2 linked regions of the Tribolium castaneum genome follow. The main gene of each other region encodes a partner of the protein of the gene in region 2 in a complex. Links are inferred from orthologs where the notes say so. Each region holds a gene or a part of one and is shown on either strand. Other genes may lie near its edges. The genes, in order: splicing factor C9orf78 and NiPp1.

Region 1 (3,242 bases), on a different chromosome or scaffold from region 2:
ACACAAAAATATTTTATTCTATACATTTACAATCAATGAACCGCTTGCCCCGACCCTGAAACCTTGAGCTTATCCAACCCTGGCAAAGCCCCCGAGCTTCTCACCGGCCCGAAATACTTATGCCCCAAGGCCTCCTGAGCCGTACATCTTTCCATGTGATCATAACAAAGCAACGATTCCAAAAAATCAAAGGCATTCTGATTCACTAAATGCTCATTCTCCGTATTGACAAATCTCTGCCAGGGTTTTTTCGAGTGAATCCCCAACATCTCCTGCATGCTACCTTCCAGCACAATGTTGTATTTATTCAAATAAGAGTAAAACTTGCTCGTGCCCAACACTTTAACAATGCAATACAGTTGGTTGCGGTTATCAAATCCTTGGAAGAAAGGTTCTTTACGGAAGATCATTGCGGCAAAAACGCACCCAAGCGACCACAAGTCGAGGGAATAGTCGTAATAACCGTACTCTACCAACAATTCCGGGCCTTTGTAATGCCGAGACGCCACCCGGACGTTGTAACGTTCTCCGGGACGGTAAAACTCAGCCAAACCGAAATCAATCAACCGGATTTTGCGATTTTTCCGGTCAATTATGATATTGTGCGGCTTGACGTCACGATGCATTATGCCCTTGCTGTGACAGAAATCAAGGGCTTTCAAAATTTCGTAAATGTAAAACCGGATATCGGAATCACTCAATTTCAAATAAACCTCCTTAAAGTCCTCATTATTTGACGGGGATTCGAAAATCAGGGCGTGCAAAGCTGTGGAAGGCACCGACACCACGGCATATAAACTCACAATGTTGGGGCCGTTCCTCAAGTGCTCCAAAATTTTAATTTCACGTTTGATTTTCGGTTTTTTGATCGGTTTTAGCAACTTGACCACGACCGAATCGTTAGTACCATCGTGCACCCCCTCGAACACTAGACTGTACTTCCCTTGACCGATTTTCCGAATCAAACTGTAATTGTTGATATCGTCAGTCGGGGGGTTGTAGTTGTCGTACTCAAAGTAGGAAGAGGGCTTGTTTGAGAACACGTCCGAGTATACCCGTGATGTTGTAACAACAACGCTACGACTAATTTGTGTTATTTTGGTAATTTTAGGCCTAAAACACTTACGGTGTGTCGTCCAAATCCATTTTTGGCACAAATTTTTTGAAATCTTTTTTTGACATTTGAAATTTAAACGGGGTGCTTACTTGTCACTAAACGACAAAACGAAAATCCCTAACCCGATTAAGCGAAAAACACAATTGTGGCTTTAATTTAATGGTGCCACACGAATTATGAATTATTTTGTGTTTTGTGAGCCAGTCTCGAGTGTCTTGTGGTGGTTTTGGTCGTTTTTGGTGTAGTTATTGGGGCGTCATAACCTCAAATTCGTCATGTCAACAAGTGGGATTAAAACCGAATCTAACGATTCAAATGACTCGAAACCCGTTTTTAAACGTAAAAACCGTAAACAGCTGCGCCAAAGGCGCCCCTCGGATGGTAGTGACCGAGAGGAGGACCTGGAGGAGGTCAGGTAACAAGACCCCCTTCACTGTGGTGCCTCCCCTAACGTTGCTTTTAGCACCAAACTAGAAGAAATGAAGGAGTTACAAAACTTGCGTAAGCGCCCCCATGGAGTCAACGCCTTGGGGCTAGCCCTAGGTACCAAAATCACCATCGAGGACGAGTGCATTTCAAAGGACCCTTTCAAGGTGAAGTCCGGCGGCATGGTCAACATGCAAGCCCTTAAAAGCGGCAAAGTCAAGCAAGTCGATGATGCGTACGACACTGGCATAGGGACCCAGTTTTCGGTCGAGACGAATAAACGTGACGAAGACGAGGAAATGATGAAGTTTATTGAAGAAGAGTTGTCGAAGAAGAAGCGCAAGGTCGAGCCCCAGGAGCAGGCCGAGGCTGAGAACAAGTCGGCGTACACCAGCCCCGAGGAGGCGGCTTTGAGGGCAGTCCCGGACCATTTGAGGGAGTCGTCGACGAAGAGGTCGGAGGAGATGTTGTCCAATCAGATGTTGAATGGGATTCCGGAAGTGGACCTGGGGATTGAGGCCAAGATTAAGAATATTGAAGCTACGGAAGAGGCGAAGTTGAGGCTGCTGTGGGAGAAGCAGAATAAGAAGGACGGGCCTTCGCCTTTTGTGCCGACGAATATGGCGGTGAATTTTGTGCAGCACAATCGATGTGAGTTGGCAGAACTGCTCATATTTGGAGTTTTTTACTTTTTTTACAGTTAATATAGACGCAGAGGTTGCTAAAAAGAAGGCCAAGTTGGATGATAAAGTGGAGGAGGCTACGGAAAAGCCGAAGAAAAAGGATGAGAGGGCCACCGATGATTATCACTACGAAAAGTTCAAAAAACAATTTAGGAGATATTAGCCTTTTGTAGTGTTTTTTATTTTTGAATAAATTATTTATTTTGATTTGTTTTTATTTCTTTTAAAAATCCGAGCAAATAATCACTGTGTTGTTTTGAAATTCATAACTCAAAAACTAAAAGTCGTAGAGCAATGCGGTTTGTTCCATTGGATTCAGCGGCTTTTTTTCTCTATTATACTAATTTTTCACGCAATTTAAAATTTTCAATTTTTTTTGCTCAAATTTCCTGAGTACCTTCAAGAGGTGAAACAAAAATTTTTTTTTAACTAACTCTAGGAACTTTTTATGGACTCCTACATGTCTTAACAACCCACAAAAGTTGTTAAAAGTCCACAAAAAGTCCAAATGTTCGATTTTTTGATGTTTGATTTTTTCAATTTTCGTCGCAGTTTTTGTCGATTTTGGGTACCCGGAACATTTGTCGAGCAATAGCTCCGGAACTATTAGAGATAACCCCATGAAGTGTATTATCGTTGGAAAGCTCTTTAAATTATCTATTTTTTTCAAAAAAGATTATTGTTCTCCGACTAATAGTTTTCGAGCAAATTGCTGCTAAATGCAAAAATTGGTAATATTTTAAAAAATTCATAACTAAAAAACTATTGGGAATTTGGCAATTTTCTCGATGCCAATCGATTCCCCGGATCATTTTGCAGGGATATGGACCAAAACAGTTCCACTTTTTAGAATAATTTAGCCGTAAATGAGAAACTAAAAAAAAATAAAAAAAGTTAACCCCTTAAAATCGGTCAATTTTTAAAGTGTCTCAAAATCAAATGAAACTTATTCTGTCTTATAGATTTTTATGTGCTCTTTACGATGGAACAAACCGTTTTCTTCTTGCTCTTTTAGT
Region 2 (3,628 bases):
CCCCCGGCTGAATGTATCGTGGGATTGGATGCTCGGGGGTTTCTCTTGGGGCCGTTGATGGCGATTGATTTGAACATACCTTTCGTTCCAATTCGGAAAAAGGGTAAACTACCGGGGAAAATTTTGTCGGCGCAGTATGCTCTCGAGTACGGTCATGACACTGTTGAAATTCAGGAAAATAGCATAAGTAAGGGGCAACGCGTCCTGCTTGTGGACGATTTGTTAGCCACGGGGGGCAGTCTAGGGGCTGCCTGCCAGCTCGTGCGAGGGGCAGGTGGCGAAGTCGCAGGGTGTCTCGTTCTAATGGAGCTCGAGGGGCTCAAAGGCCGGGAGAAGGTGCCAGCAGAGGTATTGTCCATTATTAAATATTAATTTTTTGATTGATATTTCAATCGAGAGTGCCTTGCATTCCATCAAGTAGTGAAATAAAAAACCTATTTTTGTCAAGTTGGTGTTAGTTTGAAACTGTTTCCCAGAATTCAGAAATTATTTCGCCATGTTTTTCGATAAAAGAAACTACTTTTCGTTTTTTATTGAATATTTAATCTATGACCTTGAGAAAATTACATCAAAAGCTTACACCTAATCCTAGACCAATAGCGTTTGCGTGGGCTTCTTGCCAGGCCACGCCTCCTTGGCATACTTCTTTTTCTTGGGCTCCATGGCGTCCGCAATTTGTACTTGGGGCGGGACAAAGGGAGTGGGCGGGGCGAAGTTCTGTCCCATGTCGACATCTGGCGCCGGATTGGGTAAAACCATTCCAAGGCGTGAACTTAACGAACTGTAAATGCTTAAATTCCCTGAACTGGTTGGAGAGTGGGATTCGGGGGGCAGGTCTGTGTACAAATCGGGGGCGGAGGGATGAAGGATTTTGGGATTTTTGTATTCAGTGGGGATTCCGATATTCTCAGCCGCGAATTTGGCCCTCTTGATGGTTGAAGGTACAACGGTGGTTTGGACCAAGTTTCGGAATTTACCGATACTCGGGTCCACATCTTCAGGGTTTATGATCTCTTCGTCCTCGTTGAAGGAAACGACTTGGCGTTTGCGCTTCCGGTTGGTGTTGCGTTTTTCCGTGTCGTCGGTGATTCCCAGCATTGATATCCGCCGGTTGTGGGCGGTGTTAAATTCCGTCAAATTCTATGGAAAAAAATATTTTTTGTAAAGCTCTCAGCTTCGCTGGTTGGGGTGGTTTACATCGAGTTCCGTTTCGGTCTCGGGGAGCCCCAGCAATCCGCCCTCGGTCTCCTCGCCCGCCTTTTCGATCTCGTCAATGATCGGCCGCATGCCCGTCTGGGGCCGCTCCCTGATCGTGTAATTTCGCGTGGACGCCCCAAAGTGAAAACTAGAATCAATAGGCAACTGAGTGGGTTTATACGCCTCAAGTCTTAATGATCCTATGAAGGTGCCATGGGCTAAAACAACGCAAATTATCCAAGTCTTGACACAAAAAAGCCCTAAGTTGCGCACACGTGACACTTACTGCTCCCCAAATCCACCAGAAACGCCCGATCTAAGTGTTTGTGCCAAACGAGGGCTGCATGAACCCGCGAACATGACGCGTGATCGATGCAGAAATCGTTCATTTGGGCGTTGCGTCCAAATAAGTAACACTTTTTGTCGTCGATCATCAATTTTTGTATTAGTTTGTCGCCCTTTAGCACGTCCAAATGCAAACCCACGGGGGGCTTGCCTGCCCTGAAACAGCATAACCTCAACACACAAAAACACACGATTTGTGGATTGTGTGACAGAAAAGGGGGCGAAATGATAAGTGAGGGGTTCAGGGGCCAATAACACAATTTTTCAAGGATTATTTACCAATTTGGCACCTCATAATGGTTTGCCATTTGTCGCTTTTTTGGCAGGTGACATAACGCTACGTCCGAAGTTGCACAAGGCCGAATAAAACAACCTCGTTATTTGTCAATCTAACGACATTAAAACGCACCCAAATAATAAGCCCATCGTTTGTTTGTTATAAAATCACTGTTTTAAACTTTTTGTACCGATTTGGCACCGCATTGATTTGAGAAAACCTGCTATTATGTAGTACGAAAGTGCTTATGACCGAGGAATCATCAACTGATCAACACCAACTCAAAAGTTATGGGTTCAAACCCTGACCCAGACCATTTTTTTTTTTCGTTTATATGTATTATGAACTAATCGCTTACAATGAATCGTAATGATTTACTAGTTTTACGCCTCAAATTATGTAAATTTCAATCAATAAAGTCCCATACAAAAAAATTATGCTTTTTTATTAAACAAATTTAGTCTGTCGTTGTCGTCAACCTTGATAAAAGAAAACCCCACGCTACAAAATTCTTACTTTATTAGTCAAGTATTTACATAAATATGGGCCTACGATAATTAAAAAACTTAAATAAAATACTGGAGTCACAATAACTTAATGGACGGAACTACATTGGCAGGATTGTGGTAAAGTTGTCACCCTTTGTGAGCAATCCGTTGGTTCTTCAACCAGAGACAAGCACTTAGTACACTACTGGCAGTGAGTAGCGAGATCAAAATCGCCGAAACTAGTAGAAAATTCTGCGTCGTCATACAAACTTCCCCCTCAAACGCGGCCTCAGTATTGCCAATATCGTTCAAATCCTCCGCCAAAACGACCCTCAGGTGCTTCCCCATTGTGACCCCGTCAGTGTTATTATAGTACGAAAGGTCACGTTTGCGCCTCCTCCCAGGCTCGATTTGCTGGTTGGGCTCTGGACACACCTGACAGTCGGTTTTGCAAAGCTCAATGTTGCACTGAATCATCAAATCCATCACATCTGGGAATTTAAAAGCGTTGAAAAACGCGTAGGCAATGATGGAAGCGCCGGTATTTCCCGTGTTTCGTGTTTTTTGGAACGCGCCAAATAGTTTGGGTTTGAGAATACAGCCGTTTTCGTCGGTTAGGGGGTACACGCGGTCGCCGGTCGAGTCCGTAGCCCTGCAGTCTTTGACTTGGATGTCAAAACCGGGGTCTCCGGTCACGGAGATAACAAGGGTCATTTGCTCCCCGATTTTGACCAAACCGTTGGCCGGGGGCGCGAATGGGCCTTTGCCCAGTTGGATGTCCAGCTTGGCCATGGCGGTGTCCCCACTGAAAGTCACAATCTCCTGGCTTAGCATCCCCACGCTGAGCGCCACGCTGAGGGAGTCCTTCAGGTTGCCCTCCCAGAGGCACCTCACAGCTCTGATTGTGTCCCAAACCTCCTGGATCCCTTGCTCGTTTTGGATCACGAGGACGTTCTCCAGGTACGACTGTCCTTGAGTATCAAACGCGTTGATAAATTCAGTCCCACAAGAGTTCAAACTGACGGTGAAGCGGTATTTCGTCATTTCGGAATTTTCGTTCACGTAGCGACATTCAGGCATGTTGTAGTAGCCTTTGGAGTAAATCACTCCATTGAACTCGCGGTTAAATTCAATCGTGATGGTCATCATGTCTTTGGCGCACTCGACATCAATTGCGTGAATATGTGGCGGGTGTTTCAAATCCTCATCAGTTGGTACGCCTGGCTGTGGCGTTTGGGGGATTTCCGTGGGTCCAGGCCGCGTGGTTGGCACTATGTTGTTATCCTCGGGCGAGGGCGTGGCTTCGGTTGTTATGGCAGGG

Evidence for each region.
Region 1: NiPp1 (region 2) and splicing factor C9orf78 share a complex: the UniProt entries of both Homo sapiens proteins name them as parts of the spliceosome. The link is inferred for Tribolium castaneum from reciprocal best matches to the Homo sapiens genes PPP1R8 and C9orf78.

What each region holds. Positions count from the first base shown.
Region 1 is NC_087394.1:36,668,297-36,671,538, forward strand, and holds splicing factor C9orf78, read left to right. Parts: upstream 1-1,392; coding exon 1,393-1,532; intron 1,533-1,580; coding exon 1,581-2,194; intron 2,195-2,243; coding exon 2,244-2,389; 3' UTR 2,390-2,433; downstream 2,434-3,242. Other genes in the region: casein kinase II subunit alpha, read right to left, coding at 33-1,083, 1,127-1,182. UniProt on the Homo sapiens protein: Plays a role in pre-mRNA splicing by promoting usage of the upstream 3'-splice site at alternative NAGNAG splice sites; these are sites featuring alternative acceptor motifs separated by only a few nucleotides. May also modulate exon inclusion events.
Region 2 is NC_087396.1:21,737,610-21,741,237, reverse strand, and holds NiPp1 (nuclear inhibitor of protein phosphatase 1), read right to left. Parts: upstream 2,078-3,628; 5' UTR 1,851-2,077; coding exon 1,822-1,850; intron 1,699-1,821; coding exon 1,484-1,698; intron 1,416-1,483; coding exon 1,198-1,415; intron 1,141-1,197; coding exon 589-1,140; 3' UTR 521-588; downstream 1-520. Other genes in the region: Aprt (adenine phosphoribosyltransferase), read left to right, coding at 1-372; EGF-like domain-containing protein 2, read right to left, coding at 2,455-3,628. UniProt on the Homo sapiens protein: Inhibitor subunit of the major nuclear protein phosphatase-1 (PP-1). It has RNA-binding activity but does not cleave RNA and may target PP-1 to RNA-associated substrates. May also be involved in pre-mRNA splicing.